Arabidopsis thaliana: one gene and its partners. The protein of the gene in region 3 interacts with the protein of the main gene of each other region in a pairwise test. Each region holds a gene or a part of one and is shown on either strand. Other genes may lie near its edges.

Region 1 (7,643 bases), 2.1 Mb from region 3:
TCATTTAGTCACCCGGTAAAAAAAGGGGAAATAAATAAGAGAGACAAAAGTGCATGGCATCACGTGAGGCATTACAAAAGTGACAATGACAATGGACCAAATCGTACTTCTAAGCGAAAGATAGCGACCCTCGTTATGTGTTTTTGTTTCTTCCTCAATTACTATTTACTAAAACGTCTACTCTACGCTTAGGAACAATATCATCCTTTTAAAAGAAACGAGAGAGTCTGAATTAGTCGTATAAGTTGTGGCAACTGGCAAGGCTCCTATTAAGCTTTTAGAGCATCTCCAATGGAGAGAGCTCATGGAGAGGTTTTCTCAATTTTTTTTGATTAAATTTCAACAAAAATTACAAGAGAACTTTTGCTTATTTTTTTTTTAGTTTTTCATATTCCAATGACAGATTCTCTCTAATGGGGTTCTCTGAAAAAAACTATTCTTTTAAAATTATTTTATTTACTAAAACTTAATAATTATTGCAAATCATAAAATATTAAATATACATTGTTTTCATTTTTCAAACATTTTAAAATAGATTTGAAAAAAGAACAAAAATTTAAGTGTTTTTTGGTTCTTTAAACTTGTGGTTATGTATTTTGGTTCTTAAACTTATGGTTAAAGTGTTTTGCTTCTTAAACTTGTAGATAAAGTTTTGAAAATTTGTGATTATGTGTTTAAGTGTTATGGTTAAAATTTGGTTACAACAAATATATAGCAAAGAGTTCGAACATAAAAGAACATTTGAGTGTATGAACATAAAACTTCCATCACAATAACGTGAAGAGAACTCTAAATCATTAGTTGTTTATCAAGAAACAAAGCTTAATACACACGATTTAAGGTTCACTCTTAGAGGAATTTCATCAAACACGTACTAGACATCAATTCTATTTTACAATTCCACTCAAATAGAAACTTTATTAAAAGCCAAACCTAAGCTAACCTCAATGCAATGAACCAAATCCCATTTCTTGTTCAAAGTGTCAATCCAACCATGATCAAGAACCATAGAGTTACCATAAGTAATCTCAGTTACCTCGGCATCAAAACAGAGACTGCATCGGAAATGACCATTTGTCTGAATGATTCATTGGTTGACGGAGCAAGCATAAACAAATAGTTACCATAGCCTGCATTTTAGAGGGCTCAAATGAGACTAGTATGGCTTCACATTTACTCCATAGATAAGTTAAAGGAAAAAAAACAGAGTGATCAGTAAAAGGAAAACAGACCCGTGGACTTGAAAATTCCTTTGGGGTCGACCTCTGTCATAGCTCGAGCAGAGGCTTCAGCCCCATCTAGAACTTCCGATAATGTTCACCTTTACAACAACATTCATCTTGTTACCCTTTATACTTCCTCTGTGAACCTAAGAAAGCAAATAAATGATATTGTCTTAGTATAAACATAACCAGAGTTTGACAATGTTGCTACAATTCCACGTCAAGAGATAATAATTCTACGGCAAGAGTAGCTAATTCTAGAAAGCATTATGACCAGATTATCTTCCTCAATTACAACATAAATATACAGCTTCATTATGGGTCCATCACCAAGACCTTCTGCTTTACAAGCTCCTAAATACTCTAACTCAATCATGTTTACTTAATTGTTAAGTTTCCACCATAATCTATAATACCTGAGCAATAGAAGCATAACCAAGAGGCTTTTCATCAAATTTTCAAAGTTGAATCGCATCAAACGGCGTCGCAGGAGCTTGATCACACGAAATTACAAGCTTTTAAAACCACGAAGCTCGAACCCAGAATTGAAAAGAGTGTTGCCATAGACGAAAGCTATCGGAGATCTTTTCCTGAATATCTTTGAAATCGAAACCCACGCATTTTTATTTTCTTTTGGTGAACAAATTGGTTTCAGTTTGTGTATCTTGATTTCAGTTTCAAAGAAAAGATATCAAATGCGAAAAGTTTTCAGAAGAAACGATGATTGGGCTTTGCATCTTTTGGTCAATTTCGTTTGGGCAGAGAGGAGAAAGAAGATAGAACAGAACGCGCACACATTTATTTTTTTGTTGAAATTGAAAACCCAATCACATGTTGCCACATCGACGGTTCTCTCAAATTCTCAAAACTCTCTCCAGAAAGCCGACTCTCTTGATTTTTATCAGTTTTAATTTATTTTTATTGTCATTAAACAAGAGAGCCCAACAATTTTTTGATTACATCCTCTCGTTGGAGATGGTCTTATAGCTTTTAATCAAAATTCAAAACGTTCATTAATTACCACTTTACCAGTGAACATTTACACACAAAAAAGAGTTGTGGTTGGCGACATGCTTTGAAATTTGCTCGGGTTTTGGTCTATTATTAGTCTATCAGAGAAACTTGTTTCTTTGAAATACTTCCACCTAGAATGCAACTAGCAAGTGTTGGACTATGTACCAATAGTGAGAATTGCTGATTCACAATATGGAACTGAATTTTATTTATATTTTTTTTGTATTTTAAATTTCTTATTATATTTGTATACATATATACGAAAGTCGAAAGATTACTTAAGTTGGCTATCAATGGTGTAATCATCAATGGATCGCTTATATGTAATTGAACTAAGAAGATCGACTTTATTTTGTTTATTTGCCACCGCCAAAATCGTATTTACACATGAAAAGAAATAAAAAAGAATATAAATACATTTAAAACTAAAAAACGAACGCTAGGGGACAAACATGTTCTATTGACAAACCGACCAGATCCTGCCACGTGGGGTCTTTGCTAAAATCTAACGGAGAAAAAGGCATATGCATGGTGTCAAATCTTTCAAGACAAAAGCCAAGCAGCCATCTTGTTTTCTTCGTCAATATCCAACGGTTCTCCAAAGTCGTTGGAGTCCCTTTGTCTGATCTCAGATTCCATTTCCTCTCCATCTAACAGCCTCGACAAAACCGAATCAAGATCCTCTTTTTCGTCCCAAAGGGTTTGACCTTCTCTCCATACAAAGTCCCAGTCAACGAAATCATCAGCCATCGTTTCGATATTTTTGTGCCCAACTGACATCCCTCCATATGGCTCAGAGTTTTTTACGTTGTTCGACTCACATGAGGACACGTGGACAGCATGAGAGTCGTCCAATAGAAAACAAGAATCGAAAATGTCGTCATTGAGACACAAAGCTCCATCGTCGCCATTAATGCTTGGGTTACAATCGCCATCGTCTCCATAACCACATGGTCCTAAACCGGGTTCCTCTGCTCCACTTAAGCTACTACTTGACAACACCATTAATGCGTCTTCTTTGTCTCCCTCTCCATTCTCTATTGTCGTAGTTGGCAAAACGATGTCACTTTTGTTTGCTTTAAAAGAATTAGGGGTTTTGTGGTTTTTAGGGTTTAGGATAAATTTGGGTTTCATGGCGGATCTGCTGGTTCTTCCAGGTCTACGCTTAGGAGGCGGAGGCGCATTCTCGACGGTATTGGCGACAGTTGGTTTTCTGAAGTAACCGTGGAGTTTACGGCTGAGATGAGAATTCCAATAGTTTTTTATTTCGTTGTCTGTTCTTCCCGGTAGATTGCTCGCAATTGTTGACCACCTGCAATTTAATTAGCGTTGACGCTATTCTTATTTTTTGTTGTAAAAACGTTTTTTTTCACGACGTTACACAGCAACAGTTTGATTTATGATTTCACGTGATAGTGTACTTTTTCTATTGGAAATATATCGACATTAATAAACTTTTGTTCAAATGAAAAAGTTACCTGGTTCCCAAAGTGGAATGCAGTTTAACAATGACGTCCTCTTCTTCGGGAGTTATGTTTCCTCTCTTGATGTCTGATCTCAAATAGTTTATCCATCTCAATCTACAGCTCTTTCCACATCTCTTTAGCCCTTTTTAAAATGTACGTCAGATTTTAATTAAGGCATAATAATGCCTGCAGCGATTACTCATCTTTTCCTAAATATTGAAATAAATTATCGTTTTATTTGTGATGTTACAGTCCATATATACATGTAAATAAAACAAGAAGGCAATTTGGTCTGAATTATCAATAAACACTTTATGTACTTTAAAATATTATGCATTCCTTATAGAAACTGATACATTAAATAGAAAAAAAAAAAATCAAGTCTCTATTTTAATTTTTTTTACAACTCATGGTGTATAATTGAACCGTACGTAAGATTAATTAACTTCTCGATGCATATAGATTCTCTTATAAATTTTGACCAAACAAAAAAACTATCTTATGAGATGCATGCGATAGTCGAGAGACAGAGTACTGTATAGATAAAAAAAACTTTACCGGCATTTTTGGGAAGAGAACGCCATGATCCTTCGCCGTTGGACTGAATGTAGTCGGAGAGAGTCCGGTCTTCCTCCGCCGTCCAGCGCCCCTTCTTAATTCCTACCTTCTCACAGCACGGCGCCCTTCCCATTCTCTCGGCCGGCGATTATTAAAAATCACTCACTTCACTTGTTCCTAAAGTCAATCACTAGAGAAAGAGATTATTTAAAGAGAAGTAAAGTGACGACACAACAAAAAGTGATTGGTTTAGTATTAAATATTTATAGGAGTGACATGCAAGAATAGAGAGGAGTGGGTTATATATTCAGGTGATAGAACGAGCCACGTTTGTCTATGTTGAAACAAAAGTCGTAGGCGCTCATCATAGGTCGAGAGCTACTAACCAGCTGTCCAGCTGGGTCGTCCTAGTGTCTCTAATTAGATGCTAACTATAGTTTTTAAATACTAGTTATACATTTTTTTTTTTTTTAAATACTAGTTATACATTTATTATTTCTGACTTGTTTCTAATCATACTGCTCAATTCGGATTCAGTTAATCATCTAACAATTAATAAAATCATAAGCGTAATACTTTCTCAATATTTTACTTCGTATCGTGGAAAATATGTAAACACCAATTTTATTTAGTTTACTATTGTCAGCAACGTTTCTTTATTTTTCAATGGACAGTAAAATGGTATTAGTGGGGGATCGGGACCACTCGTGTGAGATGTCTAGTTATTATTGTATGTCTAGTAAATAATGTTTCGTCGAAGATGCGAAGAATCAAGAGACCTGACATATGACATGATTGTCCAAACCAGTCTATGTTTCTTTGCATGTAATTAATAAGCAACAAAATATGTATTTATTACTTAACCACCTTTTTTTGTTTTATACTCCAGTAGTGTTTAACCAATGCACAACGTAATGTGTGACTAAGATAGTCTAGATTATATAAAGATTAAAGAAATAAATTTTCTCATAGCAGCGGTTTTGTCATTATATTAACAAGTTTAATATGGTAGGTACAAAATCCATAATGCATAAATATGCAAAACTAGTTTGGATCTGGCCTCCCCAGATCGGTTTACATAAAACAATCTCGATTTTGTATGGGCCCAGTAACCTAGGGTTTTTAATCGGGTTAGGCCACATTTATTGAATAACAATCGTAGGGGAGTTACAGGCCCGCTTCATTATTAATGCGCCTTGTATAGATTATATGAGTATAACGACGTCGTACTCATTAAAGTCGACGAAAAGAACAGTCAGCGATTCGACGTTGGTTTATCCACGTGGCTAATATTTATTGGTTACGATCGTCAGAGACTTAATCCTGATTGGTTAAGCATTGCAGTGTACACGTAACCCGACCACGAGGCTCGAGTTTTGGAATCGTTTCCACGAAAACAAGTAGAGAGAGTGATTCGAGTTTTCCAATCATAAAAATCAGCGAAGAAGATCTTCGTTCTTGTTCATTCTGTGAGGTTTCATTGTTAAAATCGAAACGAATCTCAGGTTGGAGTAATCCTTGGGAGAGATCCGATTTCCGTTTCCATGGCGATTCGGTGGTCGGAGCTGTGTATCGTACTGTTCGCTCTTTCCTACGCCATCTGCGTCCTTGCCGGGTAAGAACATCTTTCGATTCCTTCAGAAATGTGTGGAAAATGTGAATGCTTAGAAAATCTGTGTTGTGGATTTAGGAAGAGTTACTACGATGTGTTGCAAGTCCCGAAAGGTGCATCTGATGAACAGATCAAGAGAGCTTATAGGAAACTAGCTTTGAAGTATCATCCCGATAAGAATCAAGGAAATGAGGAAGCGACTCGCAAATTCGCTGAGATCAACAATGGTATTTTCGTTTTGCAACTTGTGTGATTCTGCTCTCTTTGTTAACTCACCCGTTTTTAGTTTTGAGAATTGACGTATTGGTGTTTGATGTAATAGCTTATGAAGTGTTATCGGATGAGGAGAAGAGGGAGATATATAACAAGTATGGTGAAGAGGGACTTAAACAGTTTTCTGCAAATGGAGGAAGAGGAGGAGGAGGAGGCGGCATGAATATGCAGGACATCTTCAGCTCGTAAGTTTTCTGCAAATGGTAACTCTTTAGGATCCAACTAGAGGTACAAGATACAGGGTCACTAGGATCTGTCTGATCTTCTATCCTGTTGAACCCATCTTAACATAGAATTCGTGTGAGTTTTATTTATTGATAGTGGATACAATTGAATTTGGTAATGTTAAGGGACTTTACTCTGTAGCGTGAATAGTTCCTAAATTTGGATAACGTTTTACATTTGTGTTTAAAGAAGGGACTTTACTCTGTAGCGTGAATAGTTCCTAAATTTGGATAATGTTTTACATTTGTGTTTAAAGGGTGCAGATTGCTAATTTGCAGAGATTATTGATGTGTTTAATAGGTTTTTTGGTGGAGGTTCGATGGAGGAAGAAGAGAAGGTTGTCAAGGGGGATGACGTAATTGTGGAACTTGAGGCAACTCTAGAAGATTTGTACATGGGAGGCTCTATGAAGGTATGTTAAGCTCCGTGTCAGGATGTTATTGTCATCACTAATACATGTTACTCATCTGGGAAATGTTACTTTGATCCAAATGTACTAGAATCAATAGAAATTTGTAAACTAGATTTCATAGTGTCATTCAGACATTCTTTAGGTTCAGTTCAGGCGATGTTTTGGTTAGAGTAGACAGTTTTTTTTTTTACATTAATGCAAATAAAAGAAATTGCATTAAGTTCTCAGTGAGAATGTTCCACATTGAACTATCAGGTATGGAGGGAAAAGAATGTGATAAAACCAGCTCCTGGAAAGAGAAAGTGTAACTGCAGGAACGAGGTCTATCACAGACAAATTGGTCCTGGAATGTTCCAACAGATGACAGAGCAGGTAAAGGACGGATATGTTCAATTGTCACAGATGGTCTTGTTCCAACCTAATTACTGTTTAACGACGTATCCTCTTCTTCCCCTCAGGTCTGTGACAAATGCCCTAATGTCAAATACGAACGGGAGGGATACTTTGTGACAGTTGATATCGAGAAAGGAATGAAAGATGGAGAAGTAAGTATCGAACTTCTACTACCCTCATTGTAAAATCAATCGAAACTACGTTTCATAGTAGCTCTTTAATTCATTTTGATTTATTTATGAGCTTATCGATTTTTCCGATCTTAGTTTCTAAATACCAAATACTTTTCAGGAAGTGTCTTTCTATGAAGACGGCGAACCCATTCTTGACGGTGACCCTGGTGACCTTAAGGTTAGCCTCTTCCCTAAATTTCACTATCCTTGACTTCACTAAACATCAAAATCAGAGAGAATAAACCATTGTTGTACATTTCGCAGTTCCGAATCAGAACTGCACCACATGCCCGT
Region 2 (8,133 bases), on a different chromosome or scaffold from region 3:
ACTGTGGGAGTATATAAAGAAAAGTACATATGTAATGGTGGTTTGATTAAAACTAAAAGGTTGTTTTACTTTGAAGACATCAGTACGTTTTATTTTCCCAGTTTGTAAGAAATGACACAATAATTGAAATTGATGTTCCATCAATAAAATGTGATTCACTATCTTGGTTTCCAATGGAACACAAAAAGACCAAGAAAAAAGGTGAATCATTATATACGATAACAAAAATAAGAAAGATTAAAATAAGTTAAGCCTTAAATATTAGAATTAAGATAAATTACGAAAACACGGATATTACATGAAGTCTTAAAGATGTTGACCTCGAGGGGATGCATGTTGTGTAAACTAGAAAATTGATTTTTGGAGTTTTTCTTCTTCTTATTCGTATCAAGTTCATTATTACTTTCATTTGTCAACCAAGAAAATAGTTTTAATATCACTAAACTTATAATAAAAATAAAAAATATTCTTTTTTAAATTGGGTGAAAAATCCAAAACATCATTCTTTTTAAAACATGGAAAGTATAAATTAACTCTGAAACTCATTTCTATTTTATGTAGACTAGGGTATAGGGCTAACAAAAATTGGTCTCATAATAGATATCGAACAAAAGACACAGAACCTAAAGCAATAACAAAGGAGACTAATAACCACAAATTTTTCTCATATAGAAAAAGTTTACATATTCTCCATAGCTATTTTTTCGAACAAATTAAGAGTCAAATGCAAAAGATTTTAAAAATTTTGTGTGCTTTCAAAGATGAAGTTTTTAGCGGTTAACCATGACATATAAATTCGTAATATTTTGTAGTTGTTTTTAAAAATATGATTGGATTATATAATAAGTTTTACCTTGTTTTCCACAACTCATTGAATAAAGAATTTGTCACATAAACAATACATATTTGCAACTGTCATAGTAAAAATATATTATCAAATCTAACAAAAATTATGTATATTATGAATAAAATACTCTAAATTTAAAGAAAAGTATGAATCCAACACTATCTCTATCTTAGTACATATATATGTGGACTAATGGTAGTTAGTTAGAGTTACTCTTAAGTTTTAAGCGATAAAGGAATTTTGTTTTGTTTTTGACAGAAAAATATGTTCTCTAGTCACATATTTTAACGAAAAGTTTTAAAATAGCTTATCTAACAAAAAGCAAGTGTACAACATAAAATCCAACTTTTGGATTTATTTCACCACTTTCGGACACAATTGTAATAAGAACGGAAAGTTTCGAAAAGGGACAATAAATCAACTAAAGACGAAAAAGGATTAAGGTGAAAATCTTGATGCCGTTGACTTTTGTTCTCAACGGCCATGATTGAGCGTGTGATGAGTATAAGAGACCAAATTATGGCTATTTCTAATAACCCCAAAAAATAAATTGATTGATGAGTTTTTCTTCATTTGATATGTAATTATAATCACTTATTCCATTTCAAGATTTGTGGATATCTATTGATATTCTCTACCACTATCAAGAAGCTAAAAGTGTATTAAGTGCATGTACATTAGCTTAGGCCGAGAAGTTTTTTTTTTTTTTTTTTAAAGGTGATGTATTTGTGGCACTTAGGCTTAGGCATGTAATGTGTGGTGTGAGATGTTGCGCGACTTGCGAGTAACAAAAATGGGTCTCAAATATTGAGGCATGTATTTCTAACGTTTGCTATATATGCCTTTGATGTTCTCTAAATTCTATTTTATATCGTATTTCCATAGTAATATTCAGTAAAATCATGAAATTCGAAGGTTGATATCAGAGTTTATATAGTATAAAGTTTTAAGATATAAATAATCCATTGAAAACTCAAAACATAGGTACAAAATAGCACCATGTACAAATAAATAGCTAAAATAAAGTAATAAAGTAACAAATTAAAACACGTTTAATACTATTCATGAACTAATGTTCAAGTCTATTTAACATTCACATTTTTCCTTGCTTGTGATCTTCTATATAAACTTAAAATTAAACATGCATGGTTTCCTGATAATAATAAGATGTTTAGTTATATTAAAGAAAAAAGATAGTAGCTCTCAAGACTTAAGGCGGAAGCATAACCTTATTTTTTTTAGGTTGGTACCACAAGAGACCACAACTAAACATTTGGATGAATATAGGTATAACAAATCTCTTATGATATGTATATATCTGGCTTATATATGAATGCATACTCTACGAATGTATGTGACTGCTGACGACATTGGTGTTAGACTGTTGATATAATTATATGAGGCAGTGGATCGAGATTTGAGAACTACTTAAGTCAAGATTATCATACCGAGAATTCAAGATTTAGGTGACACATATTTTGGGAACCTCATTGGCCCATACACTAAAGAGGCGGTCATTCTTTCTTTATAACTCTAAACCATATTTTCCAACCAAAAACGGTCGATGTTAAGCTTTAATATGATGTTCAAGATATAGGATACGAGGGAGAAGATGATCGCTAGAAACTCCACAGCACCATTTATCTTCCTCTGTTGTGGGGATCACATTCTCCTCATTTTTATTTTTCCATTGCACCAGTTTCCACTATAGAAATTTTCATCAAATGTTAGTTAATTAATCATATCTAAATATATTGAATACTATTAAAGTATATCATAAATTCGTATCGAGTATTTAATGAATCGATGATAAAAAGTAAAATCAAAATAAAATCTCCCTTTATGGAAATTATACCCTCGAAGATCCTCTCCCGTCCTAAATTTTTCAAAAGACAACAAATAAATATATAGTAATCAAAGCAAACTTTTTCACTAAACCGGCAATAGCCGGTGTAATTCACGTCACTTCCGGGACAAAAGCGTGACTGGACACCGGCAGACAAATCACATCAAATAAATAATAGTAATATATTTAATTCCTCAGACAAAAAGGCTCTTCCACTTCTTATCGAATTACAAACATTTCATGTTATTGTTTGGTTATATATATAGAGAGACAAAGCTCTTAACTCCTTTTTAATTGCTTGAACAAAAAGCAAAACTCAAAGGAATTTTCTCTGTATTTTTTTCTATCTGCAGAAAATTAAAGAAAAAAAGAGAAAACTCAAAAACCCACATTTTTCCTCTGTTTCCAGCTTTTCTTTATCTTTGGAGTTTGGTTTCTGGAGAAGACAAAAGTTGTTGTCCTTTTTAAGAGTTCGAGATCCTGCAGAAATTAAAAGGGCTCTTCCCGGCTTGGATTCCTAAATATGGGTTCAGAGTATAAGCATATATTGAAGAGTCTCTGTTTAAGCCATGGATGGTCTTATGCTGTGTTTTGGCGTTATGATCCCATCAATTCCATGTAATTTCTCTCTTTTTTCTTTCGAATGTTATATGCATGTTCCTGTCTTGGATAATATTTGCATAAAACTAGTTTTGTTTTCCGTTGATTTAGGCAAAAGACTGAATTGCATATCCTCTGGTTTTATATGTGGCTTCCCTACTTTGGTGTCCATAAATGTAATTTAGTTTTGTTGAATTCCATCAGGATATTGAGATTTGAAGAAGCATACAATGATGAACAATCAGTCGCACTAGTTGATGATATGGTTCTCCAGGCTCCTATCTTAGGCCAAGGGTATGCTTTTACACTTCACTCAAATCTTTTATATATCTGTCTCTGTGTTTGTGTTTATATATCTTCAATATACTTTTCTTTTGATGAAATTAGAATTGTGGGAGAAGTAGCTTCATCCGGAAACCATCAATGGCTGTTCTCAGACACATTGTTTCAGGTTTGTTCACTTCTTTTTCTTGGTGTTTGATTTTTCTCATCTGTGAGCTATAATGTATGTCGAAATATAGTGACTGCATAGAACATTTCATGATGAAGAAGAAAAAAGATTTGATATTCGTGCGTTTGATTGTTTTGCAGTGGGAACATGAGTTTCAGAATCAGTTTCTCTGTGGCTTTAAGGTAATTTATATTTTGTCTTCTCTCCAAGTTTAAGGATTCATATATCCATTTTGAATCAGATTCTTATACGGCAGTTTACTTATACACAGACTATCGCAATCATTCCACTAGGATCCAGCGGCGTTGTTCAGCTAGGATCTACTCAAAAGGTTTGCATATATAATTATATAACAATGTTTTCTTGTTGTGGAAGTCATGGTCTAATTACTTACTATCAATCTTTAGATTCTTGAGAGCACAGAGATATTGGAACAAACAACAAGAGCTCTCCAGGAGACGTGTTTAAAGCCACATGATTCCGGTGATCTCGATACTCTGTTTGAGTCACTGGGAGATTGTGAGATTTTCCCAGCTGAATCTTTTCAAGGATTTAGCTTTGATGACATCTTCGCTGAGGACAATCCTCCTTCTTTGCTCAGCCCTGAGATGATCTCCTCTGAAGCAGCTTCTTCCAACCAAGATCTGACCAATGGAGATGATTATGGGTTCGACATTCTCCAGTCTTACTCTCTGGACGATCTATACCAGCTGCTCGCTGATCCACCAGAACAGAACTGCTCTTCCATGGTGATCCAAGGAGTTGACAAGGATCTTTTCGACATTTTGGGGATGAATTCTCAAACGCCTACAATGGCTTTGCCACCTAAAGGACTCTTCTCAGAGCTCATAAGCAGCAGTCTTAGCAACAACACTTGTAGTAGTTCTCTCACGAACGTGCAAGAGTACTCTGGTGTGAACCAGAGCAAAAGACGGAAGCTTGATACATCATCGGCGCATAGCTCAAGCTTGTTCCCTCAGGAGGAGACAGTAACAAGTCGGAGTTTGTGGATTGATGATGATGAGAGATCAAGTATTGGAGGGAACTGGAAGAAGCCTCACGAAGAAGGTGTGAAGAAGAAAAGAGCAAAGGCAGGAGAAAGCAGGAGGCCGAGGCCTAAGGACCGTCAGATGATACAAGACCGTATCAAGGAGTTGCGAGGGATGATTCCAAATGGAGCTAAGGTAAATTGAATAATAATATAGTTTAGTTTAGGGCATCCAAATTATAGATTAACAAATGCATTCTCTAATAAGTTTCGATATATATTTAAACAGTGTAGCATAGATACGTTGCTGGATCTGACCATAAAACACATGGTGTTCATGCAAAGCCTCGCCAAGTATGCAGAGAGACTCAAACAACCATACGAGTCTAAGGTAATGAATCAAATATATCCATTCAGTAAGTACACAAGTGTTTGAGTATTGATGAGTGAATGATGTTTATCAGCTGGTGAAGGAGAAAGAGAGAACATGGGCGTTGGAAGTGGGGGAAGAAGGAGTGGTATGTCCGATAATGGTGGAGGAATTGAACAGGGAAGGAGAAATGCAGATAGAGATGGTGTGTGAGGAAAGAGAGGAGTTCTTGGAGATAGGACAAGTGGTGAGAGGATTGGGATTGAAGATATTGAAAGGAGTGATGGAAACAAGAAAAGGACAAATATGGGCACACTTCATCGTACAGGCAAAGCCACAAGTCACAAGGATTCAAGTCTTGTACTCACTTGTTCAGCTCTTTCAACACCACACCAAACATGATGATTTATTATCATAGTATAATACCTACCACTTTGATTTTCTTTCTTTTTGTTACAACAACAACACAAGAATCTGTTGATAAATAGTAGTAACATTACATCAAAGAAGATTGTATGGGCTCGTGGAAAAAAAAGAAGAAGATTGTATGGGCTTTAAAACATTGACTAAGACAAAGAAAGAAGGCCCATTTAAAGAAAAAAGGAACGTAACGACACCGTTTTGGGTGGATAACAGTTAACTGACTGAATCAGAAAATAGATGCCCGTTATCCTTGACGAGGATAAAGGGGAGACACTGTATATAAATAAAAAGTTGAACAAAGATCAAATCCTCAATCTGTTTTTAGGGTTTCGAGAGAGAGAGAGAAATTGATTTTTGTTGATATTTGTGAAATTTGGTGGCGAAATTGAAGCTTCTTCATCGGTCGTTGTCTAAAAGCAATGGTGGATGGTTGATGAATGGAGGAGATGCTCTTCTTCTTCTATCCAATAACAATAATAAGAGACACGACGCTGACACAAACGCAGAACCATCTCACCACCGTCATCATCTCGGAGATGGCCGCCACACTCCTCTGTTCCCGATCTCGATTCCGATCGGCGATCGACTCCTATTGCTTCGCCCGTGAGGCCTTCTCCGATCCAATCTCCTTCCATCTCCTCACCCTTCTGTAACCACCAATCATCATCCCTCCTTTCTTCTTCTTCTTCTTCTGCTTCCGGATTATTAGTATCATTAGGTTAGAATATCTGCCATGGAAGAGGCTGACTTCGTCCAGAAAGATCCCACTGGTCGCTACATTAGGGTACGACGCTATCTGCAATTTCCATGGTTTCTAGGATAACAATGTCAATCTATAGACTTTTCCTCGATAAGATTTATATAAGTAATAGCTACGTTAATGGCTTGGAAGGTCACTTTAGGATAACAATCTTCTTCTTTCTTTCTTCAGTATAATGACGTTCTCGGGAGAGGAGCCTTCAAAACTGTGTATGTTTGTTTGTTTATACGTCCTTTACTTTTTCATTGCAGTGCCTATGTTACTCTGATTGCTTTTTAAGTATTTTTCTCATCTCTTGTTGTTGTTGTTACCTCGCCGCGTGTAGATATAAGGCATTTGATGAAGTCGAAGGTATTGAAGTTGCTTGGAACCTCATGAGCATTGAAGATGTCTTGCAGATGCCTGGCCAACTTGATAGGCTATATTCCGAAGTCCATCTCCTCAATTCCCTTAAACATGATAACATCATCAAACTCTTCTACTCTTGGGTTGATGATCATAACAAGTCCATCAACATGATCACTGAGCTTTTCACCTCTGGTAGTCTCACCCTGTATGTCTACTTACTCCTCTCCTCTCTTCTTCTCTTTTCATTATCTCTTATAATATATCTACGTCTGCCTTTCCATTGATTGTCATTTCTCTTGGTCCAAAGTTATCGCAAGAAGCACCGCAAAGTTGATCCCAAGGCCATCATGAACTGGGCAAGGCAGATTCTTAAAGGCCTGCACTATTTGCATTCTCAGACCCCTCCTGTAATTCACCGTGACCTTAAGTGCGACAATATTTTTGTCAATGGAAATACCGGAAAGGTCAAAATTGGAGATCTTGGGCTCGCTGCTGTGATGCAGCAACCCACTGCTCGAAGTGTGATTGGTAATAATACTATTAAAACCTCTTTAAGTCTTGTTGGTTTTAGGATAAGCTTTTCTAGAACTGAATATATTGAGTATGTTTTTCAGGCACTCCTGAATTCATGGCGCCTGAGCTTTATGAAGAAGAATATAATGAACTTGTCGACATCTATTCTTTTGGCATGTGCATGTTGGAGATGGTAACATGTGAATATCCATACAGAGAATGCAGAAACCAGGCTCAAATATACAAGAAGGTTACCTCGGTAAGTCTGACCTGATATATATAAGTCTTACATTTCTCTTCGACACAGGGATCGTCCTTGACCATTGTTGCATTAGCAGGGTATAAAACCTCAATCTCTCAGCAAAGTTGATGATCCTCAAGTTAAGCAATTCATAGAGAAGTGTCTTCTCCCAGCTCCTTCTAGACCAACTGCTCTAGAGCTCCTGAAGGACCAACTCCTTGCAGTAGATGGCGCCAAGGACTCCACTCTTACTGCTTCATCAAACACAACATTCAAACCTGCAATGCCACCACAGTGTGAATATCGTCCTATGGATGTTGAATATAAGAAGAATACAAGTGTTTCCATCTGCTCTTCTGCTAAAAGCAGCCAAGAATGCGCATTGCTCCAGACCATGGAAGTCCAGAGGGTTGCTGAAAGTACCGAATTCAAGCTGAGTGGAGAGAGGAGAGATGATGTGGCAGCATCAATGGCTCTGCGGATCGCGGGCTCATCTGGTCTGTTTCACGATATCTTATGGCCATTTTCTTTTTCTCTTCTCTTGCATATTTTCGAATTGCTTAATGACAGTATAAATTTTATATCAGGTCAAGCGAGAAAAGTTGATTTTGACTTCAATCTGAAGACAGACACAGCAAGAGCAGTTACAGGGGAGATGGTTGAAGAGCTTGATCTGTCAAGCCATGAGGTTACTGTGATAGCTGAGATGATAGATGAACTGATAATGAAGCTGAAGGCTAATCGAA
Region 3 (7,441 bases):
CACTGTCATAAGTAAAGGTCAAATTATTTCTATTTCTAATGTCATTTATACAAATATATGTAGAACATTATCTGTTTTTTCTTATTAGATACTACTCGAGCTAAATCAAATTGGGCTAAACCCATTTAACTCAAGACGCAGCTAACCTAGCTAACAGTCTTAACACTACTGCTCACATTAAAGAGTGATTGCTCTTCCTTTTTGTCAACATTTTAGTGTGTTGTTAGTGATTGCTCTGCTGTAAATCCATATTCCAGAAGAATATACAAATTCAAATTGTACTTTGTTACTATAGCTTATTTTCAAAATGGAACTTTAATTATTCAGTTTTTGTGAAAAGCTAAATTTATGTTTTCTTTTTGGTCGAGAGGTTGAGTATCGAGGAGACACCAACTCCATCTACACCATCACGCTTACTAGACATACTTTCTCGATTTATATTTTTGCTTTACTCTTTTTTATTTCTTCAAGCTCAATATGTTATACTCTCTAGTATAGTCTCCCAAACTGCAAAAGCCTACACATTTCACGTCAGAGTTTGGAGAAGTTTTAAAATGTCCAACCCCTTAAATGGTCAATAATGACAACAATTCAAGAATTATATAACATAAAAGTCTGTAGTTAATTGCTCATATTTTTCATATATACTAACCTTAGCCATCTCTCGACCATTTATCATGTTTCAGCACCAATCAAAGCTTTACTTAGACCACATCTTCTATTTTCTCTCCAAACAGTGGAGCGATGTGAATTTATCAATTTAAAATACAACAGCTATAAATCCATTTATAGCTAGTTGAAGAATGTGAATTCGTGCCTTACTTGGTGAAAGAGTAAAGAATTAAATCATAAATAATAATCCTTAAAGGGTATTCAAATGTAAAATAAAAGAAAAAGGAACTTCAAAATCATCCGATGTCAGCACAGGAAAGTGAAGGCACTGTGGTATCGAGATAAATAAATTAATCAAACATGCATAAGTTAAGAAATTCACCCATACATCACAATGAGTCTACTTTATATATTAAGAAATTAATTCATCCCCACAATCCATATTATAGAGTAGAGAAAAATAGAAATGCTTTTTGTCTCATCGAAGAATGGCCCCATCAATTCTATCCTTTTCTCGTTTCTATTTTTTCACGCCTTTACCCTGCCTCTTCATTGTTTGTTTACTCTTTTTTCTAATCAAATAGTAATGTTTAGGGATACAATTTAGTACTCATAATATTTTAGCTTTGCAAATTTTATGAAACTGCAAATAGTTTTTAATCTTAAAAAACATTCTGTCTTGTGGTACTGTTTCTTGTGTTACACCTTCTCGCAAATACGGTAAAAGTATTACCTCATTCTCAAGCACTAATCCGTCCTCCACATTTACTAATAACAAATAGTATATTTATTTACATTAACAGAAATAGGTTTTCACATTTGACGAAAAGATTCTCCAGTTTCGTCATACCTACTCTGTTGTGAATCTGTGCTTGCTTTTTCCATGTGCTCCAAAAAACCTAGAAGTCTAGTATACTAAATAAATTTGATTTTTTCTTAATATATTATATACAATATGATCGATTCATACGAAGGAAAAAAGGTGGTCAAACATATATAGATAAATACAGTAAATATAACATTGGTTAAAAATTTCTTCAAGGAAGACATAAAAACAAATGAAGGTACAAAAATATTCAGAAAGATACGAACAAAAGGCAGAACTCTTTAGGGGACAAGATAACATGAGGTAGCTTTGAAACTCTAACACTTCTCCATATATTCTTTCATTAAGATTCTACAAACAGCTTCTCTTGACTGTCCTGCATCGTACGTTCACTTTATATACACCATTTCATGATGCTTTTAAGTTCTAAAATACATATACTGTTTTGAAAGTCTTGTTTCGCTGCAAGTACTTTACCCAATCACATCTCTTTGTTAGATTCTTCTGTCTGTACAAATATTCCCACAATCTAATAATCTTCGTCATCACCCTATACTTTACGTACCCCTAAAATTTGATTTAACTTGTACAAAATTATAGTTTCCTTTTCTTTTTTTGTATTTTCTTCTAAAAGAATCGGAAAAGAACACACAAATTCCTACTTACAAGTTACAACACATGTTTACACCCATTACTCAAACTTATAACTAAACCCATATAAAGTCTTCTTTTTTTTTGAGAAAAAAAACAAAAGATTTGTGGTAATTATACTCACGTTAATTAATTATATAATAAAGTTAAACCCTAAATAATTGCTCAAGTCATATCGAGATCAGACCATTATGATGTGATCCAGCGCACGACGTCGTTTTAACCTTTCTTCCCCACCACCACCACCATGTCCCACCATCACCGACTTGCTTGACCGTTCGAGTAAAGACTTGAGTGCGTTCTGTAGAAAATTCACCGACTGGACGCCGTGATGCTCTTTGTCAGCGGCCACAACGAGAACGTTTCTTGTTCGACCACCGACTGTTGTCATGTCGGCAAAGAGAGTTTCCATCTGAAGAGATTTGAGTGTCTCCATGAGATCTTTCAAGAGCTCTGGCCGGTCCTCGCAGCAAAACGATACCTTAAAGATTATCCGTCGATCGTCGCCTCTGGAACAGTCCTCAATGTTGAGTACACTGATTTCGTCAGTCTCCGACGGTATTGTTTCGTCGGTGATTTCTAGGGTTTGTTGTTTTAGTTCTTTGACTCGTTGAACCACTTTTGCTAGTAGTGTGGATTTGTCTGTCTGTGTAAAGAAAATTAAAACAAATAAAGGAAACAAGGAAAGAGAAAAGGTCAGATCATTAGAATTTGTCTTGATTCGAGAAATTTTGTCTTCATGTTTCAATTGTTTTCAAATGAGAAAAAAAAAAGCTCGATAACTTTCCCGACAAAGTGATTATCAGCTTCAGAGAAAAAAAGGGGCTTGTAAGCTTTTTATATCTCCTCAATTTTCTAGATATTCCCAGTACTTGCAGCTTTTTTATTATTCGAAAACATTACATTTGACTGATGTTAGTTTTAAAATGGTTCATTTTCTATAAGTGATATACTTCCAATATTCCACCTTTCTCACCAATAAATAAAATCTTAGCTAGACACTAGACTGTAGTAACGTATATCACACAAGCAAGATTAATCTGATTAAGACAAAAAAATTGTCATTTGGATATAAAGATTTAATTAAAAACACAAAATTCTGGTGAGATAACATCAAAACTTTAATCCTCATTTCATAAATCTTTTCCTAATTAAATTATATGCATGTTTAGACGAGTACTGAAGAATATGTAACTTTAGAAGTTAATTTCATATCTTAAATAACCCAAAAGAATTAATAGTTTCATCATGCTTAATCTTCCATTTTTATCTTCTATGCTTTTTATAATTTTCCGGTTCAAGTCTCTATCTAAGTTTCATTATAAGTTTAGAGTAGAGTAGTGAGATAGTAAAGTAAAAGATTTGTGTACCTTGGAGTTACAAGAGAGTAACTTGCGGAGCTTGTTGAGATGGGAATTGATTCTTGCTCTTCTCTTTCGCTCAGCCTCTTTATGGTTCCTCAGAGAAGCAAGAGCTTTGTCTTCATAAACCGTGGCAAAAGGGTCAGACGACGACGTCACGGTGGTGGAAGTAGACGAGGCACATAATCCTCCGGTGAGGAAGGCATAAAATATTTGATCTGAAACCTCTGGCTGCATTTTTTTGTTGCTGTTGTTTGCTTCTCCGCCGCCTCCCTTTTTGTTGGGTTTGGAGCTTTCTTTCGGTGGGTTCTGTCCTAAAAGAATATGACTATACTATAATTTATACGAAAATAAGCTTAGAGTGAGAGGAGATGTATGTACATACATATTTTTTTTTGTCGTCGTATGTACATAGATATATACTTAGGTGTTTGTAGAAATATTTTAAAAAAAAAAATTTGAAAAAAGGTTTCATTATTTTTCCGCAACCGAACGATTGCAATTGTATGTTTCATAACATTTTTAATAGCTCTAGATAACAAAAAAAATTGGGTAGTGAAGGGTGGCAACTGGCAAGGTATTCCAATTTTTGTTTACAAAGTTATCTTAACATAAAAAAGAAATATTTTACAAAAGCAAAAACTTAGAAGAAATTTTTTACTATATATCTTTTACCAAATAATATCATATCAAACTTTAATAAAAAATTTGTTAGTATATCTACACAACACATCAACAACTTCTATGTTTCTTCTTCTTTAAAAGGGGATTTATTGAAAGCACAATTTTGATATTTCTCATTTGCATTTTTATGTAATGGATTTTTTATCCTTTTCTATTGAAAAGAAGGAAATTAATTGGCTTTAAGACTCTGTTTTCTACTTGGCCCATATAAACACACCGAGGGATATGATTGAACCAAGAAATTGAACCAGAACATTAATCAGATCGGTTTAAGTTCATACTAACTGGTTATCTTCTTCTTTGTGGGGAAGTCGAAGGGTTTGTGAGATCTCATAACTCCGGTGAATCCTCTTCGTCCAGACTCCAGACTCCAGACTCCAGATCTTCAGAATCTACCTCGCACGAAATCTCGTAAGTATTAGTTGGAAATTATATTTATTAGTTATTGGAGAAACTTGATAAGCAATAAAGAGTTTTGACCTAAACAAGTTATTTGTAATTAGGGTTTTAAACATAGTCTAATGTTTTTTCGACCTAAACAGAGACAATGACAAAGAAGGTTTGTTCATGTATCAACGAGTTGCCCGACGATTTGATCTTGAAGATTTTGTCATTCGTTTCTACTAAACATGTTGTAGTGACAAGTCTTTTGTCAAAAAAATGGAAATCTCTTTGGACAAGGGTGCCTATACTCAAGTACGATGTTCGGGATCACACTAGATTTGAACGATTTCTCGACAAGTCTCTGTTCTCACACCAATCTCATGTTCTAGAAAGCCTTCATGTCGAATTAAGTGTGACCCTGTGGAATAAAGACATTGGACCATGGATTAGAACCGCGCTTCATCATCATCATTGCCACCTCCGTGAGCTAGAGATAGATGCTTGTATTGTCCATACCGTATTACCTCCTGAATTGTTTACCTGCAAAACACTTGTTGTCTTGAAACTCAAAGGTATAGTGATCGATGTGGAAGCTCCTCTTACAACGGTCTCTCTCCCATCCCTAAAAACTCTGCACATTGACCACTCGAGTTTATTCGACTTTGGATCCCTTCAAATGCTTTTATCCAATTGCAATTTTATTACTGACCTAATGGTCATAAGAGAATCTCGTTTCTTTTTTGCTGAGTACGACGTTTCTTGGTGTAAAACACTTATGGCCTTGAAACTCGAAGGCTTGAAGGATGTGATAAGCATTTCTTCTTCTTCCGCGGTATGTCTCCCACTCCTCAAAACTCTCCATGTTGCCCGCATGGAGGACTTTAACAATGATTCCTTTTGTCGGCTTTTATCCAATTGCCCTGTTCTCTCCGACCTAACACTGGAAGAAAAAACCAGTGATGTTTTGTTGAATTTGGATATCGACATGCCTTACTTACAAAGATTGTCGATTATCACAAGAGTCGATGCAGATTCCAAGCATATTTTTAGTTTGATGAAAAACTACACTCGAAAGCTTGCGATTATCGCACCTTCTTTCAAGTACTTCAGCATTCAAGAGTTGGCATATGCAAGCCGTTACCGGTATATTGTACGGGTTAGGCTCGGAGTTCCATCAAAATTAGAGGTAACTTTTTTCATTCCATGTCGTTTCTTTCTCGTGTTATATCTTGTTGGAACCATCACATAAATGAAATATCGTGTTTTTTTTTTCTTTTTTTTCTAGGATGCAAGTACCTTCAGTCGAATCGTGCATCTGGAGCTGAGCATATGTAGTGAAAGATCTGTGGAAATGCTTGTAGATTTGCTCCTATGTTTCACTAAATTGGTGGTCCTCAAGCTTGAACATGTATTCAGTTTTCTCCCTTTTTTCCTTTACCATTGTAATTTATACTAGTGTTTAATATTCGACCTCAATGATCTTATTATTAATAGCAGTTTTACCATTTTTTCTCGTGATCGCAGGTTTACTTACTAACCCCGTTGGGTCGTTGGGAACCGCCAAGTTTGGTTCCCGAATGTTTGTTGTCCAGTCTTGAAGCTCTAGAGTGGAAAGGGTACACAGGGAGATACGGAGATAAGGATCTGGTGAGTTATCTCCTGAACCATGCGCTTTGTTTGAAAACGGCAAAAATCTTCTATAAGACATATCCATGTGAAGTGGAAGCGAAGCAACAGATTGAAGAGGACTTAGCTTCGATGCCAAGAGGTTCAAAGTCATGTGAAGTTCTTTTGAATGAAATTATAAGAAACAAAGCAAATTGTTAAATGATTGCTAATATTTGGAAGAAACTCGCGGACATCTTATGATTTGATGCTTCACTAAATTCAATGTTTCATTAAAATTTCTACTGAGGTGTTTCACATTCTCTTGTGTTTAGGTTTTTATTGGCCTTCTGTTTCGTTGATCATTTGAAGCTATTCAATGAGCCCCGTTAGGAAATCAATTTAACGTAAACTGACTGCCATTGATAGGACCTAATTTGCATTTAAAAAAACAATGACACTAGAGACCTTTAATAGAAAACCACGAACTAGACCAAGTTACAAATTACAAGAGCAAGACAACAGAAATAACAAGGCTTTTGAAAATATTCAGACGCAAAATAGATCATAAAGGGATATAACATTCGTTTCTTAAACAACCAGAAAACATACCTCGAGTCCCACACAAAAAAAAAATTAGAACATAACACAAGAATTTATATGTAAGAGATGCAAACCAAGTTTAGAGCCATTGTTTGGTTCCAAAACAGCATCACTTAGCCATCATGACCTTAACAAACTCTTCATAGTTAATCTGTTAAATGAGAAGAAGGAAACTCTTCATAAGAAGAAGTCTTGGGTTGCTAATTCAGACGCAAGAACCTTCATTAGGTTGCTCAATTTCACCTTTGATTTTTGTGGTTCAAACAACGCTTGTCTAATCATCTTCTGTTTCTCCTTTTCTTTTGCCACACGCCTTAGAGTTTGCAGTTTCTTCTCTTCCTTCTTTGTCAATTTAAAAGGTTGGGGAGGTTTAAGAATATTCTGAAAAACATCTTTCTTGTGTTTGTTGTTGTTAACCATCAATGTACTAAGATTAATCACATGCCCATACTCATCTATTTCTCTTCCAAGTACATCTACACGCAGAAAAAAGCCCTTGGTCTGTTTATGTGCAACAGCCGTATCTATTGCCAGCTCCTGAAATCGTTTAACAGCTTCAAGGATTTGACTAGAAGTAGTGTCCGATGCAATAGAACAAGTATACGGCCTTTTCTCAAACCTAGCTACATCTTCAAACCTAGAACTCTTGTTTGTCGTCCTAGCCGCCCCATTCTCTTCCTCTGATCTATCTTTCCTCTTACTTCCTTCGTGAGAC
Region 4 (9,389 bases), on a different chromosome or scaffold from region 3:
ACCTTAGTTTATTAAATGAAGATAATTTTAAATACAATATAACATTTTTCTTAGATCTTTTTAATAAATTACTATAAATGAATGCTTAAACAAATATATATATATATATATATATATTCAGCGAATGTAATTGAAAAGAGAATCTATTGGATTAATATTAAGTTGAAGTTGAGCTAAAGAAAAAAAAAACAATTGAAAAGAGAATGTAGTTTGGGCCTCTATTGTCTTTAGGGGTCTCTCTGATAGTAAAAAAGGCACTGCCACTTCTGTGAAAATTCAGAGAGTGAATGGCAAATTGTCACCGGTGACGTCATCAAGACAGCAACAACTACTAATTCCACCTCGATGGTTTATGAGACATCTAAGCATTAAAACATCTCTTTTTTTTTCTTTCTCCCAATTTCTCATCTACCTTTTCTTGTTAATAACAAATGAAAATCAGTTTTTTGACAAACAAAAAACAAAAATTCATTTTTTTATATTATGTTTTCACTCGAAAGTTGCAGCCTACCACAAATATTTACTTTATTACCACCTATAGTTTATGTACCATCTAAGTTACTAGGGATGTGTCTATATTCATTTGGTATATAGCAAATGTTTTTTCCACAAGAAACATAGACGAAACAAATTTTCAATAAATGTTATGTGTGTTCTCACATGGTATCAACGTTACACATTAAGAAAAAAAAAATCAACGTTACAAAACTTTGAGTGTTTGTTTATTTGTCTTTATTTGACCATGGACGAGAATGGCATCACATGAAATGTCTCTACCAATGGTTATGTGCTATATACCACCAATATTCATAAATATGATTTATCAGAACTTTACATAAAATTCTGCTATCAGTATTTTTTATTTATTTAATGGTAATAACTATGCTGATTAAATTTTAAAATCAGTATCAATTAAGAAAAACAGTGATTTTGTGGACTGATATATTGGTCGACAACCGATAAATTGATCGTTCGTGATTGATGACATGTGAACTATTTTGTATTTTTGTTAGTTTCGTGGATCATGAACACAAATAATATGTTTTTCACTACAAAATCTCACTCAGTCGGATTTTTCTTTTTAAACTTGTAAATTGTACAAACCATACAATAAGAGGCTATCTACGGTCCATCTTCCCGCAGAACTTTCATTATCCTTTTGTAACATACTGGCAGTTACATTTAAAAAAACTGTCAAGATTACTTGAAATCATTCGGTGTGGTGCCTTCTAAAAACCTCCCAATGCTCAAATTATATCTTTATTTTATTTTATTGTGGTCAAAGTATTACGATGTTCTTTTAGTGATTCAGTATAATGTTCATAGTTTTTCTGTTAAAAATATCATAGTAATTATAGATCGTTTTTATGGGGAAAAAAAAACTTAGTACATAGTAAAAGTAGTTAATAATCTATTAAAAAATAATATGGTTTGGACCTTTTTGCACCCACTAAAATATCAGTATATAACTAAGTTAAATCTTTAAATTAGTAATTACGAATTGCTTGATGTTAAATTAAAGTGTTAATGAGTTTTTCAGAATTTAATTTAACATGATAAATAATAAAATAATCTAAATATTAAAGAGTTTATTAGAAAATAGGCATTTGTCTTGGTTATATATTTATTTTAAGGTATTTCCTTACATGATTTTCGAAAGAGGTACTTTTCTCTTGTGAAAAGTCATCCTTATCCTCCTCTCATTTGCATTATCTTTTACCCAATTGAAGCAATAAGTCGTGTCTGTTTCCTATATTCGATATTTGCATCACCAATTGAAGCAATAAATCGTGTGTGTTCCCTATATTCAATTGAAACAATGGCGATATATGCATCATCTTCTAAATCGCCACTCCTGCAAAGACAACAACTCGGATTTTCAAGAATCCAAGTTTTTATATGGAAAATCACTGAGAGAGAGATCATTGTGAGGGATTTAAACCGGTTTCATCATTTCAAGAATGGACTTGTGGTGATTACTGGTAATTTGAAAAAGACAGGTGAGACGATATTCAAAAACCGGTTTCAACTCATTGTTATTTGTGAACCGATTTATTCTTGGTATAGGAAGACTCTGGGTGGGAAAAGATTCCAACTTTGCTTACGAAGGTTAAGTCGCAACAAAGAAAGCTTCTTTATTTCCGCCATGGACACAGCCTATCGTAGTCATGTGGACAGAACTGAAATTCTCTAAAATCAGAACCGAAATTCCACAAAATCAGAACTAAAGTTCCATAAAATCTATAAATTTTTTCGATTGGGTTCCCTATATATTATCTTAGGGTTTAGTATTGTGTAATTAAAAAGAAAAATTAAGTTTGCTTGAAAAACAAAGAAGAAATCGATTTAATCAGATTTTGCAACTATGTTCGATAAAGAAGAAGAAGAAAGAAGACGATGAAGAAGAAGAGAAGGAAAAAAAGACAGGGACAAAATTGTCCCGATTGAAGCAATAAATCGACACTGTTGTATTCAACTGTGGAAAATACCTATTTTGAAATAACTTTATTTAAAATGCCTATTTTAAATATAAGCTCAATATTAAACACCTTGAACTTATGTGTATTTATTATTTGTGTGTACGGGAAGCAATACCAGAAAATGAAAATCTCTTTTATTTATTGACAATCCATAATCCTACAAATCCTCTAACTTCTAGACTTATGCCGTTATTAAATATTTTAATATATATATATACATATATATTTTTAATAATTATATTTAGGAACGTCTTTTAATTTATCTCCGAGGGTACACTTTTTTTCTTTATCTCTTTTGTTTTTATCTAAAAACAAACTTTTAGGATATTACCTCACGAAAAAAACAATAAATTATTCGTCTAGCACCATCGGAAAAAGACAAAAGACTTCGACTACCCCACTCAGTGGCACAATCCTGTAATTTCTACTAAACATTGATACCCTTTCTCGAATTCATCGTGTTCTTTGTTTTTAATAAGATGGTACTTTTTCCTCATTTTTCAATCTTTTTTTCACCAAGAAGCAGAGAAAAGAAACATTAAAGCAGAGAAAAAACAAAGACAAATAATCTCCATTTGCTTTCTTCTCCATCTTCTTCTAATTTTCTTCAAGTTTTATCAATGGCTGGTGTTACTGGAATCTTAAAGCTTGAAGCTTGGAGCATCTTGTGAAGAAGATTAACTAGTTTCTTGTATTTTTCTTTTCTGGGGTTTTGAGTTTTTTTTTCTCTTCCTTATTACCGGAAGTAATGGCATGTCGGAGTATGATCGCTTTTAGTTTAGATCCTGAAAGAAAACAAAGTGGAGGACTTAGGACAAAACAAGCTGGAAGAGGATCTTGCCGTGGAAGTTAGTCTTTGTTCAAATCCATTTTCCTCTTAAAGAATGTAATAATGGGTTTTTATTGATTGTTGTAGATTTGTTAAAAAGTTTTGTTTTTAGACCTAAAGTTTCGATTTTTTTCTTCTGGGCAGTTTGAAATTGCACTGTTGCAAGTGAAAAAGTTTGTTCTTGTTGGAGCTTAAAGAAGAGAGAAGAGAAAGAGAAAAGCTATGGGAGTTTTACTAAGAGAAGCTTTAAGGTCTATGTGTGTTAATAATCAATGGTCTTATGCTGTTTTCTGGAAAATTGGCTGTCAAAATTCTAGGTACCACTCTTATTCTCCTAATTCTAATAAAGTGTCAAACTTTATTCAGTCAAATATATTCAGTGTTTGTTAGTTTAAAGTTTGAGAATTTTTTGATAAGGGTTTAAAACTCAGATCTCGAGGATGACTAGAATTATTTATCTCTGTTTAATTCTTGGAGTTTTGTGTTTGGTTTGATCTTGTTTGTCTTAAAGAATCTTTCGATTTGTAGTTGTTTTGTCGACAATAACTATATCCTTATTATTTGTTTATGAATTGTCTAAAGAGTTCAAGTTCTTTAACTCTCTTGTCATTTCAATTTTTATTTCTTGTCTTTGTTCGTTTTGTCTTTGTTTAGCCCAAAATCTTTTGTAATCGTCTTTTTGTGGTATTCTAACTTAAACGATTGTTGCATATTTTTGTCATGTGTATTCTAATTTTTTTTTTTTGATGTGTTTTTTTTACTTGTTTTTGTGCAGCTTGTTGATTTGGGAGGAATGTTACAATGAAACCGAATCGAGCTCGAATCCTAGAAGACTTTGTGGACTTGGTGTTGATACACAAGGGAATGAGAAAGTTCAGTTGCTTACAAACCGAATGATGTTGAACAATCGAATCATTTTGGTAGGTGAAGGTCTAGTTGGCCGAGCTGCATTTACTGGACATCATCAATGGATTCTAGCTAACAGTTTTAACCGCGATGTTCATCCACCCGAGGTTATTAATGAGATGCTTCTCCAATTCTCTGCTGGTATTCAGGTTTGATACTTTCTTCATGTTTTGAACATCCTAAGTTAGGCTTCTTTAGTGTATATATATGTTCAAGCTCATAAGAACTGTTTGTGTGTGCTTATTTTGTTTGTTCTTCAGACTGTTGCAGTTTTTCCGGTTGTTCCTCACGGTGTTGTTCAGCTCGGTTCCTCTCTGCCTGTAAGTTCAAGTTACATTGTTATGTGAAGTGAGATTCTTGTTCTTGATTTAACTGTGAATTGTTTTTTGTGTGTTCAGATTATGGAGAACTTGGGGTTTGTGAATGACGTGAAGGGTCTTATCCTGCAGCTCGGATGTGTTCCGGGGGCTCTCTTATCTGAAAACTACAGAACATATGAACCTGCTGCTGATTTTATTGGAGTGCCAGTGTCTCGGATAATACCTTCTCAAGGACATAAGATCCTCCAATCTTCGGCTTTCGTAGCTGAAACTAGCAAACAACATTTCAACTCCACTGGATCATCAGATCATCAAATGGTTGAAGAATCTCCCTGTAATCTTGTGGATGAACATGAAGGAGGATGGCAAAGCACAACAGGATTTCTAACAGCTGGAGAAGTTGCAGTACCTTCAAATCCAGATGCGTGGCTGAATCAAAACTTCTCTTGTATGTCTAATGTGGATGCAGCAGAGCAGCAACAAATCCCATGTGAAGACATCAGTTCGAAACGCTCGCTTGGAAGCGACGACTTGTTTGATATGTTGGGTTTGGATGATAAGAACAAAGGTTGTGACAACAGTTGGGGAGTTTCACAGATGAGAACAGAAGTACTCACTAGAGAGTTATCCGACTTTCGGATCATTCAAGAAATGGACCCTGAGTTCGGTTCTTCGGGGTATGAACTTTCAGGAACAGATCATCTGTTAGATGCCGTGGTCTCGGGTGCTTGCTCCTCCACAAAGCAGATCTCAGACGAAACTTCCGAGTCCTGCAAAACCACCTTGACTAAAGTTAGTAATTCTTCGGTTACCACGCCGTCTCACAGTAGCCCTCAAGGTAGCCAGTTATTTGAGAAGAAACATGGGCAACCATTGGGGCCATCATCGGTCTACGGGTCTCAGATAAGTTCTTGGGTTGAACAAGCGCACAGCTTGAAGCGTGAGGGCAGTCCAAGGATGGTGAACAAGAATGAAACTGCAAAACCGGCTAATAACCGGAAAAGGCTTAAACCAGGAGAGAACCCAAGACCAAGGCCTAAAGATCGCCAAATGATCCAAGATCGTGTCAAAGAGCTGCGTGAAATAATACCAAACGGTGCAAAAGTAAGTGAAAAACTTATCTGTTCTTGGCAAATTAAACAATCCCTAAGAAAGGTTATTACTAACAAAGAGTACATGTGGTTTTTATTTAACAGTGTAGCATTGATGCACTCCTTGAACGTACAATCAAGCACATGCTCTTCTTGCAAAATGTCTCCAAGCATTCTGATAAGCTGAAGCAAACCGGGGAATCCAAGGTATAACATAAAACAATAATATTTTGGTGTCTCTCATGGATTCTTGATCTAACGTTTGTTGTATTGTTATAAGATTATGAAAGAGGACGGTGGAGGAGCAACATGGGCTTTCGAAGTAGGGTCAAAGTCTATGGTGTGTCCAATTGTCGTAGAAGATATAAACCCGCCTCGCATTTTCCAAGTCGAGGTAACATTTCTGCCTAAGGTTCTTAATAAAAAACACTCAAGATCTCGGTTTTGATCGAACGTTTTCTGGTTTTGTAACAGATGTTATGCGAGCAACGAGGATTCTTTCTAGAAATCGCAGATTGGATCAGAAGCTTAGGGTTAACGATCTTGAAGGGAGTCATCGAAACTCGAGTAGACAAGATTTGGGCTCGCTTCACTGTTGAGGTATATTATATAAGTTACACAAGGTTGTTTAACTTGGAAAGATGAGATTGTGTTAGAATGTATCTTATTTAAACTGAAACCGGGTCGATATTGGATTGTAGGCGAGTCGCGACGTGACGAGGATGGAAATATTCATGCAACTAGTGAATATTTTGGAGCAGACAATGAAATGTGGAGGAAACTCTAAGACTATTTTGGATGGTATCAAAGCTACAATGCCTTTACCGGTTACTGGTGGCTGTTCAATGTAATGACACAAATTATTGACCGTACCGGATTGCTCCGGTTTAATAAACCGGGCTGGTTAAAAGCTTGATTCATATAGAGGTTACGAGCGGACCGCTCTCAAGGATTTTAGGCTCGCTATGACTAACTAAAAAGTCAGTCTAAACCAGAGATGATGATTTTTAAGTGTGTTTTTTTTTCTCAACTTTATGTTTTGTACATTAGTTGCGAATTTTCATTTGTGTGGAATTTTTTAATTTTAATTCAGTTTTGGAGTTGTAAAAAATTTAGTTAAATTGTTTAAAATTATTCTCGACCAGTAAGAGTTCAAACAATTCACGGATTTCAAGACCGGTAAAAAGAACCGGTCCATCAACAGCTTTAACAGTACACAACAAAGCTTCACATGTTACAAGTACCTTTATGTTACTTTGATTAGTAACTCTATGTATATAATTAGCTTATTATTAAAAAAAAAAACACAAGAAGCTCTACTTTCAATAAAACACACTCTTTATTAAGAAACGTGAGGCCTATAGAAGAAAAGCTAATAATAGTTAGTTATAATACTTTTGTTAACAGCCTTATAATGTGCTATCATGTGAATTCATAATCTCTAATGGATGTCTTAATCCATTCCTAATATTTACATTTTCTTCATACTACTAATTAGTGGATCAAACTTAGTCCAACATCAAATTCTCAAAACTGCGTTTTTGTTTGTTGTCTCAAAAATGCTTTATTTACACTTTTGAGGTACCTAAACTTTGCTGCAAAAGGTGCATGAACATCTTTGTGTCTTGCTTTAGCCATCTCTCCACTCTATAGATTATGATGGGATAATCGACAGCACATTATGATTCACTAAAATTCATTATATTTTTCTTGGGCCCTTCAATTTTCTTCCTCACTTTTAAAATATGCTTCCAATAATACTTTATCAACAGTCTACTAGAGATGATTTCCCACTAGGCTACAGATGTATATATTCTTTTATATAAACGGTGTAACCTTTTTCAGTTGTAAATATTAACCAGAACTTGTATACTATCAGTGACCAAAATAAAATAAATTAAAGTTGTATACTAGGTAACATAGGTTTTCTTAACTAAATAAATTTATATAGGAAATCTAAATTATTAAGGTATGCAGCAAGATTTGTCTTGTGTGGAGGAAAAGAAATGAGCCAAGATCCCATTATCCTCTAATATGATATGATTAGCTAATTTTGATAAATTTAGAAAATGAGATAATTTTTTCTTTGATACTGTAACTAGAACATATGCATATTTTGTAAAATATAAAAATGATAGGTTTCTATTGATAGCAAACTTTTCTTACTAGAGTGAATGTTTTTTCACTTCTAGCGAATCTTTTTTTTTGTTGGATAAACACTTTTAGCGAATCTTTTATATAGTAAAGCAGAAGCAAAGAAAACAACTATTTGCTACAGATGGATTTACTTAGCTTTTGTTTTGGTTATTGTACAAAACACTATATACATACCTTTATAGTAAGTAAACTAGTAATTATTCTTACCACATTGATCATTATAAAAGTCTCTAAACTTGAAAATTTGAGAGATATTTTTTTTGCCAAAGCAAAATTTGAGAGATATATATTGAACGTGTTTCACTAATGTTTTTTAACATTTTCCAAACTGACTAGTGTAAAGTTGTTAAGATTTGATGCTATTCATGGATGGGATCGGAAGTGACAGAAATGGATGTTACCAATGTTTTCTTGCATGGTTAATTGAAAAACGAGATATGCATGAATCTACCTTAAATACACCTCTAATTTTCTACCAACACATCTTATTTATAGACTGCATAAGTTATATGTCGTGCGTACTTATGGTTTCATGCCGTCCTTGGCTGATACTACCTTGTTCGTTAAAGAAATGAATCATTTTTCTACATTGCTGGTATATCGTAGCTATAGCTAGTAATAACTCTTTTGAATCTCTTTTTGTTGTTTTGCGCAGAGAGTTCAACATGAAGGATTTAAGTCTCTTATGCTTATTTTTTAGAGTATAAGTGGCAAGTTCGTGTAAGGAAATATCTATGTGTTGAAGGCAGGATCTATCAGAAGACACTGCTTTTCGCTCATAAATCATGTTATGTTTCCAATGGACCCTTATGTTCATTTCAGCAAAGACAAGATAATTATATATTGGATTCACCAACGACATATCAATAGCATATTAGACGTTTTCTCTATCGTACTACAACAATATATCATCTATGGAGTTCACAGGTTAAGCCACTTTTTCAAGCTCCTACTCATGTTCGTGTAGGATAGAATACTAGATATGAGGCTACTAACACAATGCTTCAGGTCATGCATGATTCGAGAAGATCGATTTCTGGATTTTTTGTGACTACCTTGGTAATTCTTTGGTTTCTTGAATTAAAAAATAGCCATCCCAGTATAAGTACGTAGGTGTAGTATAGAATCAGAAGCCACCTATGAGCTTATATGGATTCATCAGTCGAACACATATTTGAAGATCTCTTTGGTTGCTAAGGCTAAACTCTTATATATGGACAATTAATAAGTCCGTTGTTCAGATTGCTTCCGATAGAGTCTTGATTAATGAACGTAATAAAGCCCATAGAGATTAACTGTCACACAATTTATCATCATCAAAAATGGTTTTTTCAAACCATTGATGCGTCAAGTAATAAACAACTAGCATGCATCTTGACTATTTAATGCATTGTATCAAGGTCCTTTTTCGCTATATCCTTTATCGAATGTCAATGTTAATTAAGCCTTTTTATCCTTCACGGTAGTTCTTTTTAAAAGGTTTGAGAAAACGTATTATAAGTATATTATTCTAGTGTATGAGGTAAGTTTAAGTTACATTATTCTAGCGAGCATATTAACTACTTCAAGCAAATGAGAATTGGCCTTTCATTAAAAAATTTTTGTT

The links.
Region 1: the proteins of AT3G56770 (region 3) and MYB11 interact in a two-hybrid assay, tested with the Arabidopsis thaliana proteins (one large-scale study listed by BioGRID).
Region 2: the proteins of AT3G56770 (region 3) and AT1G64625 interact in a two-hybrid assay, tested with the Arabidopsis thaliana proteins (one large-scale study listed by BioGRID).
Region 4: the proteins of AT3G56770 (region 3) and LHW interact in a two-hybrid assay, tested with the Arabidopsis thaliana proteins (one large-scale study listed by BioGRID).

What each region holds. Positions count from the first base shown.
Region 1 is NC_003074.8:23,151,509-23,159,151, reverse strand, and holds MYB11 (myb domain protein 11), read right to left. Parts: upstream 4,523-7,643; 5' UTR 4,395-4,522; coding exon 4,262-4,394; intron 3,846-4,261; coding exon 3,716-3,845; coding exon of another isoform or gene 3,712-3,715; intron 3,550-3,711; coding exon 2,781-3,549; 3' UTR 2,567-2,780; downstream 1-2,566. Other genes in the region: AT3G62615 (uncharacterized protein), read left to right, coding at 3,298-3,330, 3,712-3,792; ATERDJ3B (DNAJ heat shock family protein), read left to right, coding at 5,806-5,876, 5,952-6,100, 6,196-6,331, 6,672-6,783, 7,039-7,155, 7,242-7,328, 7,468-7,527, 7,614-7,643. UniProt on the Arabidopsis thaliana protein: Modulates overall growth by reducing the proliferation activity of meristematic cells and delaying development. Flavonol-specific transcription activator involved in the regulation of several genes of flavonoid biosynthesis.
Region 2 is NC_003070.9:24,013,662-24,021,794, forward strand, and holds AT1G64625 (Serine/threonine-protein kinase WNK (With No Lysine)-like protein), read left to right. Parts: upstream 1-2,994; 5' UTR 2,995-3,216; coding exon 3,217-3,311; intron 3,312-3,497; coding exon 3,498-3,587; intron 3,588-3,680; coding exon 3,681-3,744; intron 3,745-3,884; coding exon 3,885-3,926; intron 3,927-3,985; coding exon 3,986-4,075; intron 4,076-4,151; coding exon 4,152-4,928; intron 4,929-5,021; coding exon 5,022-5,123; coding exon of another isoform or gene 5,124-5,168; exon of another isoform or gene 5,169-5,196; coding exon 5,197-5,520; 3' UTR 5,521-5,610; downstream 5,611-8,133. Other genes in the region: WNK10 (with no lysine (K) kinase 10), read left to right, coding at 6,259-6,309, 6,457-6,494, 6,611-6,838, 6,941-7,161, 7,248-7,405, 7,485-7,884, 7,975-8,133. UniProt on the Arabidopsis thaliana protein: Transcription factor that may regulate root development.
Region 3 is NC_003074.8:21,026,932-21,034,372, forward strand, and holds AT3G56770 (basic helix-loop-helix (bHLH) DNA-binding superfamily protein), read right to left. Parts: upstream 3,824-7,441; 5' UTR 3,688-3,823; coding exon 3,460-3,687; intron 3,395-3,459; coding exon of another isoform or gene 3,286-3,394; exon of another isoform or gene 3,197-3,285; intron 2,736-3,196; coding exon 2,271-2,735; 3' UTR 1,971-2,270; downstream 1-1,970. Other genes in the region: AT3G56780 (FBD, F-box and Leucine Rich Repeat domains containing protein), read left to right, coding at 4,682-5,704, 5,804-5,926, 6,043-6,345; AT3G56790 (RNA splicing factor-like protein), read right to left, coding at 6,904-7,441.
Region 4 is NC_003071.7:11,647,364-11,656,752, forward strand, and holds LHW (transcription factor-like protein), read left to right. Parts: upstream 1-2,995; 5' UTR 2,996-3,366; intron 3,367-3,453; 5' UTR 3,454-3,531; coding exon 3,532-3,626; intron 3,627-4,084; coding exon 4,085-4,364; intron 4,365-4,475; coding exon 4,476-4,535; intron 4,536-4,613; coding exon 4,614-5,639; intron 5,640-5,731; coding exon 5,732-5,833; intron 5,834-5,906; coding exon 5,907-6,020; intron 6,021-6,100; coding exon 6,101-6,226; intron 6,227-6,327; coding exon 6,328-6,477; 3' UTR 6,478-6,780; downstream 6,781-9,389. Other genes in the region: AT2G27229 (Pentatricopeptide repeat (PPR) superfamily protein), read left to right, coding at 1,820-2,194. UniProt on the Arabidopsis thaliana protein: Transcription activator that regulates root development; promotes the production of stele cells in roots. Coordinately controls the number of all vascular cell types by regulating the size of the pool of cells from which they arise.